Caenorhabditis elegans: one gene and its partner. The protein of the gene in region 1 interacts with the protein of each later gene in a pairwise test. Each region holds a gene or a part of one and is shown in the gene's direction. Other genes may lie near its edges.

Region 1 (4,361 bases):
CAAAATTCATTTTTTTTTGCAGCATTCTACGATCGAAATCATCCGACAAATCGGGAGAGAATATGATATTCGAGGCAGTGAATGAGAAAAAGAAAAATGGTAAAAAAGAAAAAGGAGAGAAAGTTGAAGATTCAAAAGTGTGCATCATAATGTAATGTGAGGAAATATGGAATGTCGTTTGATCTCAAATGGGAATAGATAATGCATTGTTTCGTATTATGGAAAAATTACTGAAACACAACTGTACTTAAATTTTAATGTTTCTTTTCTTGGTGAACTTTTCAGTTCTAGTCAGCTCCCCGAACCTCCCGGTAATTTTGAAATGTATGTTTCCAGTGAACTTGTGATATTGATGATAATTGGATTTTATAACAGTAGTTTGTGTATTTGTGTTTTATTAATTTTTGAGATTGGAATAAATAATTTGTAAATAAACATTTTCTCCACTATTACATTTTTGGATGAAATCTTAACTAAAAGAGGGATTCAAAAACAATTTGAAAATAGCATTTCGATGCTTGAAATGTGTAAAATTTTGCGCGGTAGTTCACTGTATTAATATTTTACAAGACTAAAAAAATCCATTAATCACTTTTTGCATATTACTTTACAGTCCAATTAGAAGAAAAGCTCAATACCAACTAATGAATAACCTAATGGAACATACTTTTTTCAAGAGTTTGTTGTATACTGTGAAGTTACAGCGTAGACATTGTTGAAGCAGCCAGACGGATGACATAGGATTGATCACTGAAAAATGACAGATTATCAAAAGACCAGTTTTTAGAACCAGCTTCATCCCAATCCCTAGTCGACTGATCTTTACCTCTCTTGCGTTTCGACTGATTCAGGTCAGAAATAGAAATGTCGTTGATGGGAACTTTTTTGAGAATACTCAATGGACAAATCGATGACGGATTTTAGGATCACAACGACGAGGGATTCAGAGACTTGCGAGGACAGCAGAGAACGGACAGACTAACATGGAAGGACATTTTGAAACGTTTTATAAATAGGACGGTTGATTTAAAAACAACAATTTATTGGACCAACTTGAGTGATAGTACAGATTGCAAGAAGTTGGTTTTTTAAATCATAAACGTGCTACATTGACGCACTGAGAAGAGACTGAGGGGAAAACAAAGGAGATGAAAGATCTATAGGGAGTGAAGGGGAGATCTTAAATAGAAAATACACCGGAAAATCAGAAGTTGACCCGAGCACGAAGACACGTTGATGAGAGAGGAGTTGGGAAGAAGAAAGGGCGTCGACGATCACTGTAAAAAGTTAATTAATATTAGTTCTGATTTTAACCCATAACCGCAAATATTTCTCATATTCACGAACTTACCTTATTGCGGTTGATCTCAGTGAGATAAAACGGAACTTTGTCACCAGTCCAAGACGTATTGTTTTCCACAAGATGAAGAAGACGCTCGTCCGTGATTTTCACAAAATCTGAAAAAGATATAATTAGTATTTTGATGTACCTAACACCTAGTTTCAACTTACCATCGATACGACGAGAAGTCGAGCTTTGAGAACGGGGACGTGGAACAATCGACTCTGATGAAATGATCCGCGTTCCGTCAATGCATTTCGACAAGATCTCTTTCAGCTCCAACTTGAGCTCCGGCGAAAAACGAACGTTGTTCACCACAATCACCGTGGCTTGGGTCTGGATCTCATTAATACGATCCACCAGATATGCTTTTAATGAACGTGTCTCAACGTCGTTTAAATTGAAAAATAGTTCCTGGATGCTCTCAATTTCATTTAAGCACATCAAAGTGCACTGTGTATTTTTATATTGTCTTTGAAAAAATGACTTGGGTACAGCTTGGGCAAGAGTTGGGAGCAGCCTCATAAAAAAAGTCGTGGGCTGCTTGTTCTCTCAAGGCATCGCCCAAGGCTTACCATAGTTTTGTCTACTTCTTCTTATTCCTTCTAATGTTTTTTGAATCTGCATTTCTCTCTTGGTCTACATATGATGTTGGTAATGTATAGTAGAAGACCACGTGTGTCTGCACAATTACACTATCTCTAGTGTTCTGCGTCTGCAATATACAACAACAAAACCATTTCGTCGACATACACCGTCCAATCTTATCAGTTAGTTCGACATCATTCCGTCTTTGACCCTTTTTGTTTATTTTTCAACTAGTCATTATCATCAGTTATTCTTTCTGAGAATTTACAAAATTATTTTCTGCTTGTAGACATGTCCAACCAAAAGCCAGTTCTGTATTCTTATTGGAGATCATCGTGCTCATGGAGAGTTCGCATCGGTTGGTATTTTAATTATATCAATTTTAACTAGCAAAAATGTTATTTTCAGCGCTTGCTTTGAAAAACGTGGACTACGAATACAAAACTGTCGACTTGCTGTCCGAAGAGGCTAAGGTAAGAGAAAATCAAGCGGTTCTTTAAATTATTTTAAAATTTAGAGCAAACTGAAAGAAATCAACCCAGCTGCAAAAGTACCAACATTTGTTGTGGATGGTCAAGTAATTACTGAAAGTCTTGCGATTATTGAGTATTTGGAAGAAACGCATCCAGACGTTCCACTTTTGCCAAAAGATCCAATCAAGAGAGCTCACGCTAGAGCTATTTCTCTTTTGGTAAGTTTTACGTATTTAGTTGGTTTTTTTCTTAACTTTATACTGCTATTGTTTTACAAAAACTGTAACAATTATGTTTTGAGGTTTACAGGTTGCTTCTGGAATTCAACCTCTTCACAATTTGAAGGTTCTTCAACTTTTGAATAAAAAAGAAGCAGGATTCGGAGGACAGGTTTAATTTCAGAATCTTCAATGTATGTTTTCAATTTTTAAAATTTCAGTTTGCCAAACAGTTTGTTGTCGAAGGTCTCACTGCTCTTGAAATTCTTCTAAAGCAACATTCTGGGAAGTATGCTGTCGGAGATGACGTCACGATTGCGGATCTCTCCATCCCGCCACTTATCTACTCAGCTAACCGGTATGATTATAGGGAGGGTCAGGGAATTTTGGACATAGATAACTTTTTGAGAAAATTTATTATGTTTTAGTAATCTATCCAGAATTTCAATGTATTAGTTTGACATTTTGCGTATTCAAAACCTCGAAAATTTGAACACCTTTTGGGTTACCCTCAAACAACACTGACCAATTTTTCATAGACAGTTACTGAATCATCTTAGCAAGTGATTTAAACGAAAACACATTCCTATTGAAAACAACATCCACTTGTGTGGCAACAACCTTTTTATCGGATTCCTGATTCAAACAAAATGTATTAGTCATTCAACAAACATGAATTGGAAGCGATGAGCGTTTAGGATGAGACATGAGAGATTCACAGATAACCATCAGAATAACCTCCCTTCCAAATCGTTCCGATCGCAATCAAACCGTCATTTCAGATTCAACCTCGATTTGTCGCCATACCCAACAGTGAATCGTATCAATGAGACTCTTGCTGATATCCCCGCCTTTATTGCCGCTCATCCTGATAATCAACCAGATACCGGACTCAATGCTTAGATTCTTATGAATGATTGCGTTATTGGATTGGACATACAAGAGTTAACTATTTGAGAATTAAAAAAAAATGTTTCTTTGTCTCTTAAATTAGCACAAAAGTAATAATAAATTTACAACAGAAAATGTCCGCGATATCCTAAAGCAAGTTGCTTTTTTTAACTTTGTAAACTAACTTTTCTCGTTTTCATACTGAGTGTTTTTTTTTCAAATAAATTAATTTCTTAAAAATATTTTGAACTTTATTCAAACGAAATATCCAATGGAAAATTTTTTAGTATGCGAGTTCCACTGATAACTTTTTTGCGTTCAAAAAAAATGTCCTGCTTTGAAGACAGAATTTTTGATGTTTACCTATTTAGAAGTATGTTTCGAAATTCAAGTTAAACAGTTGCAGACCGGAAGCCTCCAAAAGTCATTTTTTTGTCCTCCTCTTCATGACCAAACTCAATCCCTGGGGATTAGCATCTGAAAACCCAATCGGCAATGTTGTGTCATGGAAACTTTTAGAGAACTTTCGGAAGACTTCCGTGCAAAGAGAACGTGTTTTTACGGGCGAGGTTGGCATAGTCATAGTACTAGTTGGTTGCCACCCACAACACAAGCCGGCCTTTCGATTCATCAAAGTATCCGTTTTTTTCACTCTTCTCCTCCCGCATTCTCCCCCTCTTTTCTTTGTCAGTGTGGTCTGCAAAGTTCAATTTCCAACTTTTCTCATTTTCTCTATCTCTGGCTCGCTCTTCGCAGCTCCTTTTCTGCTTTTTTTGTCTTTATGCAACCAGAATCAAGAGGAAAAGAGTGACGAATTAGGTTTAATAAAGGGTGATGTTTGACAACTTT
Region 2 (3,967 bases), on another chromosome or scaffold:
AGTTTGGCCATTTTTATTAATATCAGACATTGTTGCAAGCTGGCCCTCGCATAATGTTTGAATATATTAATAATTTCAAATAATAAGTCATACAACGCAAAATGTATCTTGATCAATTTTTTAAATCATAATAAGTGAAAACTGAGTAATTACCACTTTATGACGGAAAGTTAAAAAAAAACTTCAAAATGTTGACTGACTGTACTATGATATTTGCTCATCATATCATATGAGTGTTCCCTTCAAAAACAATTACAGTACCCCGTGAATGACTGGTCAAAAAGTGGAATTCTGGGAATGCTTGTAGCCGCAGTTATCACCAATTCTATTATGATCATCTATGTTTTCTTTGCACGAAAAATTCACTTGTCACTGAAAGCATGCACATTATCATGTACTACGAAAAGATTACATTCAAGTCTTCTCAAATCTTTAATTGCGCAAACTATAATTCCATTAATAAGTACAATCATCCCTTTATTTGTTGTATGGTTCCTCCCACTTGCCGGTGATAATTATGGAGTGTAGGTTATAGATTCATAAGTTCTTGAAATTTTTAAATACTTTCATAATACTGTCAACATATATTGTGCCTATACTAAGCGTTTATCCTGCAATTGATCCAGTTGTTATCACTTGTTCATTATCAGATCACAGAAATTCTGCATTGAAGATATTGGGATTCCAAAAAGATAAAACCAATGTATCTAAACGTTGATTAATTCATTTATAGATTTGGAAAAAAACGTTTATGAAGTTATTTAAAATGTGTATGATCTATTGATTTCAAATGTTCACAACGTCGAACCACAAATTGATGTTTCCTCATTTTCGATGTACTCAAACTATTTTATTATCGAACTTTTTTATGGAAAAATTTCAAATTATTTTTTTGCAAAATATTGGATTTTTTTGGAGATATTTCAAATTATTTTTTTTGAACTTTTTTTTTGAAAAATGTTTCAATTTTTTGGAAAATATTCGAGATTTTTTTCTACTCTCATTCTCCCCTAGAAGTCATGATGAAATTCGTTTGTGTGCACGTGAAAAGCACATGTATTGAGGGACGAATAGATGCTTCGGCATCTGTAGGGTCCTGCGTCTCGTTACTCTCCCACTGTTATTTTTCATCTGCAATATTTTCGTTTTCCATTTCACAAAGTTTATGTCAGTTAGTTGTTGTTCCGGTTACTTAAAAAGCTTATTCTCAAAAAGCCTAAGTTGATAGAGCTTTCAAAACATCAATAGTTAATTTGAATCTCTAATTCTAATTGTAAGTCAAGTAGATTCTTTCATAATAATCGTAACTGTAATTTTGCCGGAAAAATGCAAAAAAGTTTTCTTTATTAAAAACTAGTATTTAAAATTCCGCCAAAAGGCACGCAAAGTGCGCAAAGCCATTCTTGACCCCGTTATCGTGACTAGGCGCACTTTCCGTTTTTCAATCGGATTTTTTGTTTTCGGCACGTTGTTTCTCAACAAAGTTTAATGTCTCAAGTGATTGAACCAATTTTTCTATCATTTAAACTGAAAACACTAATATTTTATTTCTCTCCAAGTGTTTACAATGTTGATTCTATTGATTTTTCTCTAAAAAGTTGTGTCTCTTCAAAAAACACACACGTGACCCATGCTCTCACTTTGATGGTTTATTCTTTGTTAACAAATTTATTGATATTGAAGTGTTTATTCAACCTATTTAATTTAATTTTCCTTGCAGAAAATGCCAGCAACAAACCGAAGAATTTCTTTGGGATCTCCAAAGGATCTTCGGGAAGTGAAGTTTTTCGACGAGGAGCCAATCCCAGATGTCCCACCAAAGGGAGCACGCGTTAAAGTTTGTTATGCAGGAGTTTGCCTTACTGATAGAGAAGTTTCCAACACGAAGCAAGCAAGAATTACCAACGGAATCAAAGATACCAGCTTGTTTCCAGGTTTGAAATTTAGATTAATTTGGCTTGAACTAATGAAAATAACATTTTCGAAATCCGTTATTGCAGGATATGAAGTTTCCGGAATTGTTGAGTCATTCGGCGCTGAATGCACACCTGGTGACTATGATCTGACTATTGGAGATAAAGTAATCGTATGGCCAACTGATGAGATGTGCAGTCATGGTTATGCCGACTATGTTGCTGTTCCAACTCTCCATTTTCTTGTGAAAATTCCAGAAACTCTTTCAATGCATGTAGCATCTATTTTGCCTGCTGGAGCTACCTGGGCGTTGTCTGCTGTTCTTCAGGTTTGACATTTTCCACGGTTTTTTTCTTCAGTATTAATCAACAATTTTTTCCAGGCCAGACCGATAGTCGAAGCGTTTTCACAATCAAAGGGATTCTGCAATATTCTTATCGTGGGAGCAGGAGGACTTGGACTTTGGCTTCTTAAACTCGCCAAGCATTTCCTAGCGATCAACAATGATAAAAAGATCCGTTTGATGGTTGCTGATGCCAAAGAAGAACGTTTGTCTCTGGCCGAAAGAAACGGAGCTGACTTTGTAGTACACTGGGATGATTCCGAATTTGAAGAATATCTGATTATGAGAACTAAGGATGTGGCTCGTACCGGTGTCAATGTTGTTTTCGATTTTGTGACATCTCCAAGAACTGTCACTCGATCATTGAAGTGTCTCGCTGAAGGTGGTGTCTTATTTGTTGGAGGTCTTTCCGGTCTTGATGTTCAACTTCCAATCAAGCACGTTGCTAAAAACAGACTGGCCATTATGGGAGTTACGAGGTACTATTTGAAGTTTTTTTCTTTCTTTATTTCATTTACAAAATTTCCAGAGGAAGTATCGAACAACTGAAAAACCTTGTAAATTTGATTGCCGGAGGCCAAATCGATGCTCCAGACTACAGAGTTTATCCAGTCGATCAAGCGTCTGCAGTGTTGAAGCAATTGTCGATGTCGGAGGTTGAAGGTCGTGCCATTCTCGAAGTTTGCGATCCCTCTTCAGCATTAGATGCAGATCAGAGCGGCGGTGTTCCAATTCCTGCCGCCACTTCCGAATAATTGCTCAATAAGCCTCCAAAGGTGTAATAATTGTATTTCCCATTTTGCCATTTCATACATTGTCCCGACTCCCTTCACTCATAATTATATAGTCAGAAAGTCTTATTTCATCCTGTGCATTTACTCTATTACTTCCCAGACATCGGTATTTTGAGTATAGTGTTGCCATCTGCTTTTCAAAAATTCCCTGTAACATAAAATCCACATTTTCTCCCGTTTCTTGCTCTAGATCCGCATCCTTCCAAATAATTTTAACATGAGAACGAAAATAATTTTTAGTTAGGTAATCTTAGTTTGTAAAAAATATGTAAACAAACGAATTCAATGAATATTATAAAAAAACAAATTACCGTTACAGTACTTCATTAAAGGTCATAACCAATTATACTTGGAATAAAAATAATTATTTCCTATTTTAACGAAAAAAAAACTTACGAAGTGAAGTCTCCAATGACACCGGAACCGCTCCCGACGTGCCAGGCAGATATGAGGTACGACGTGCTGGCGAGAGCAGGATTCGCTCGTCGTGGAAATCTTCATTTGCCACATTCCATCGTCGAAACGCCTGTTTTTATGCCTGTTGGAACACAGGGAACTATGAAGGTATGGAATAAATTAAGAATAAAAATTCTAAATTGAAAAAAAAACTTTTTCAAAAATGTGAAATTTGTTTGTGATCATAATAAAGTATAATACAAAAAATAAAACCTGTTAGTTTTTTTTTTAACTTTCAGTGAAAATTTTTTCAAATTTTTGAAAAGTAGAGATTTTATGAAGTTTACAGCAAGTTAAATTTATGAACATTTTTTTTCAGATTCTCATTTTTCGATTTTCCCTGAAAAAAATTAAAAAAATATTTTCTCGAGTTTATGCAGTTTCATATATAATAAACTTACAGGGAATCGTACCGGAACAACTAGTCTCGATGGATTGTCGAATTCTCCTTTGCAACACG

Evidence for each region.
Region 2: the proteins of gst-42 (region 1) and ZK829.7 interact in a two-hybrid assay, tested with the Caenorhabditis elegans proteins (one large-scale study listed by BioGRID).

Annotation. Positions count from the first base shown.
Region 1 is NC_003284.9:11,725,657-11,730,017, reverse strand, and holds gst-42 (putative maleylacetoacetate isomerase), read left to right. Parts: upstream 1-2,081; 5' UTR 2,082-2,221; coding exon 2,222-2,288; intron 2,289-2,338; coding exon 2,339-2,403; intron 2,404-2,447; coding exon 2,448-2,621; intron 2,622-2,712; coding exon 2,713-2,793; intron 2,794-2,842; coding exon 2,843-2,979; intron 2,980-3,403; coding exon 3,404-3,524; 3' UTR 3,525-3,754; downstream 3,755-4,361. Other genes in the region: D1053.3 (Ras family protein), read left to right, coding at 23-155; D1053.2 (Histone-lysine N-methyltransferase, H3 lysine-79 specific), read right to left, coding at 1,275-1,277, 1,352-1,458, 1,513-1,867.
Region 2 is NC_003282.8:11,959,289-11,963,255, reverse strand, and holds ZK829.7 (Enoyl reductase (ER) domain-containing protein), read left to right. Parts: upstream 1-1,720; 5' UTR 1,721-1,723; coding exon 1,724-1,934; intron 1,935-2,000; coding exon 2,001-2,242; intron 2,243-2,296; coding exon 2,297-2,736; intron 2,737-2,786; coding exon 2,787-3,012; 3' UTR 3,013-3,351; downstream 3,352-3,967. Other genes in the region: tgt-1 (Queuine tRNA-ribosyltransferase catalytic subunit), read left to right, coding at 3,463-3,615, 3,911-3,967.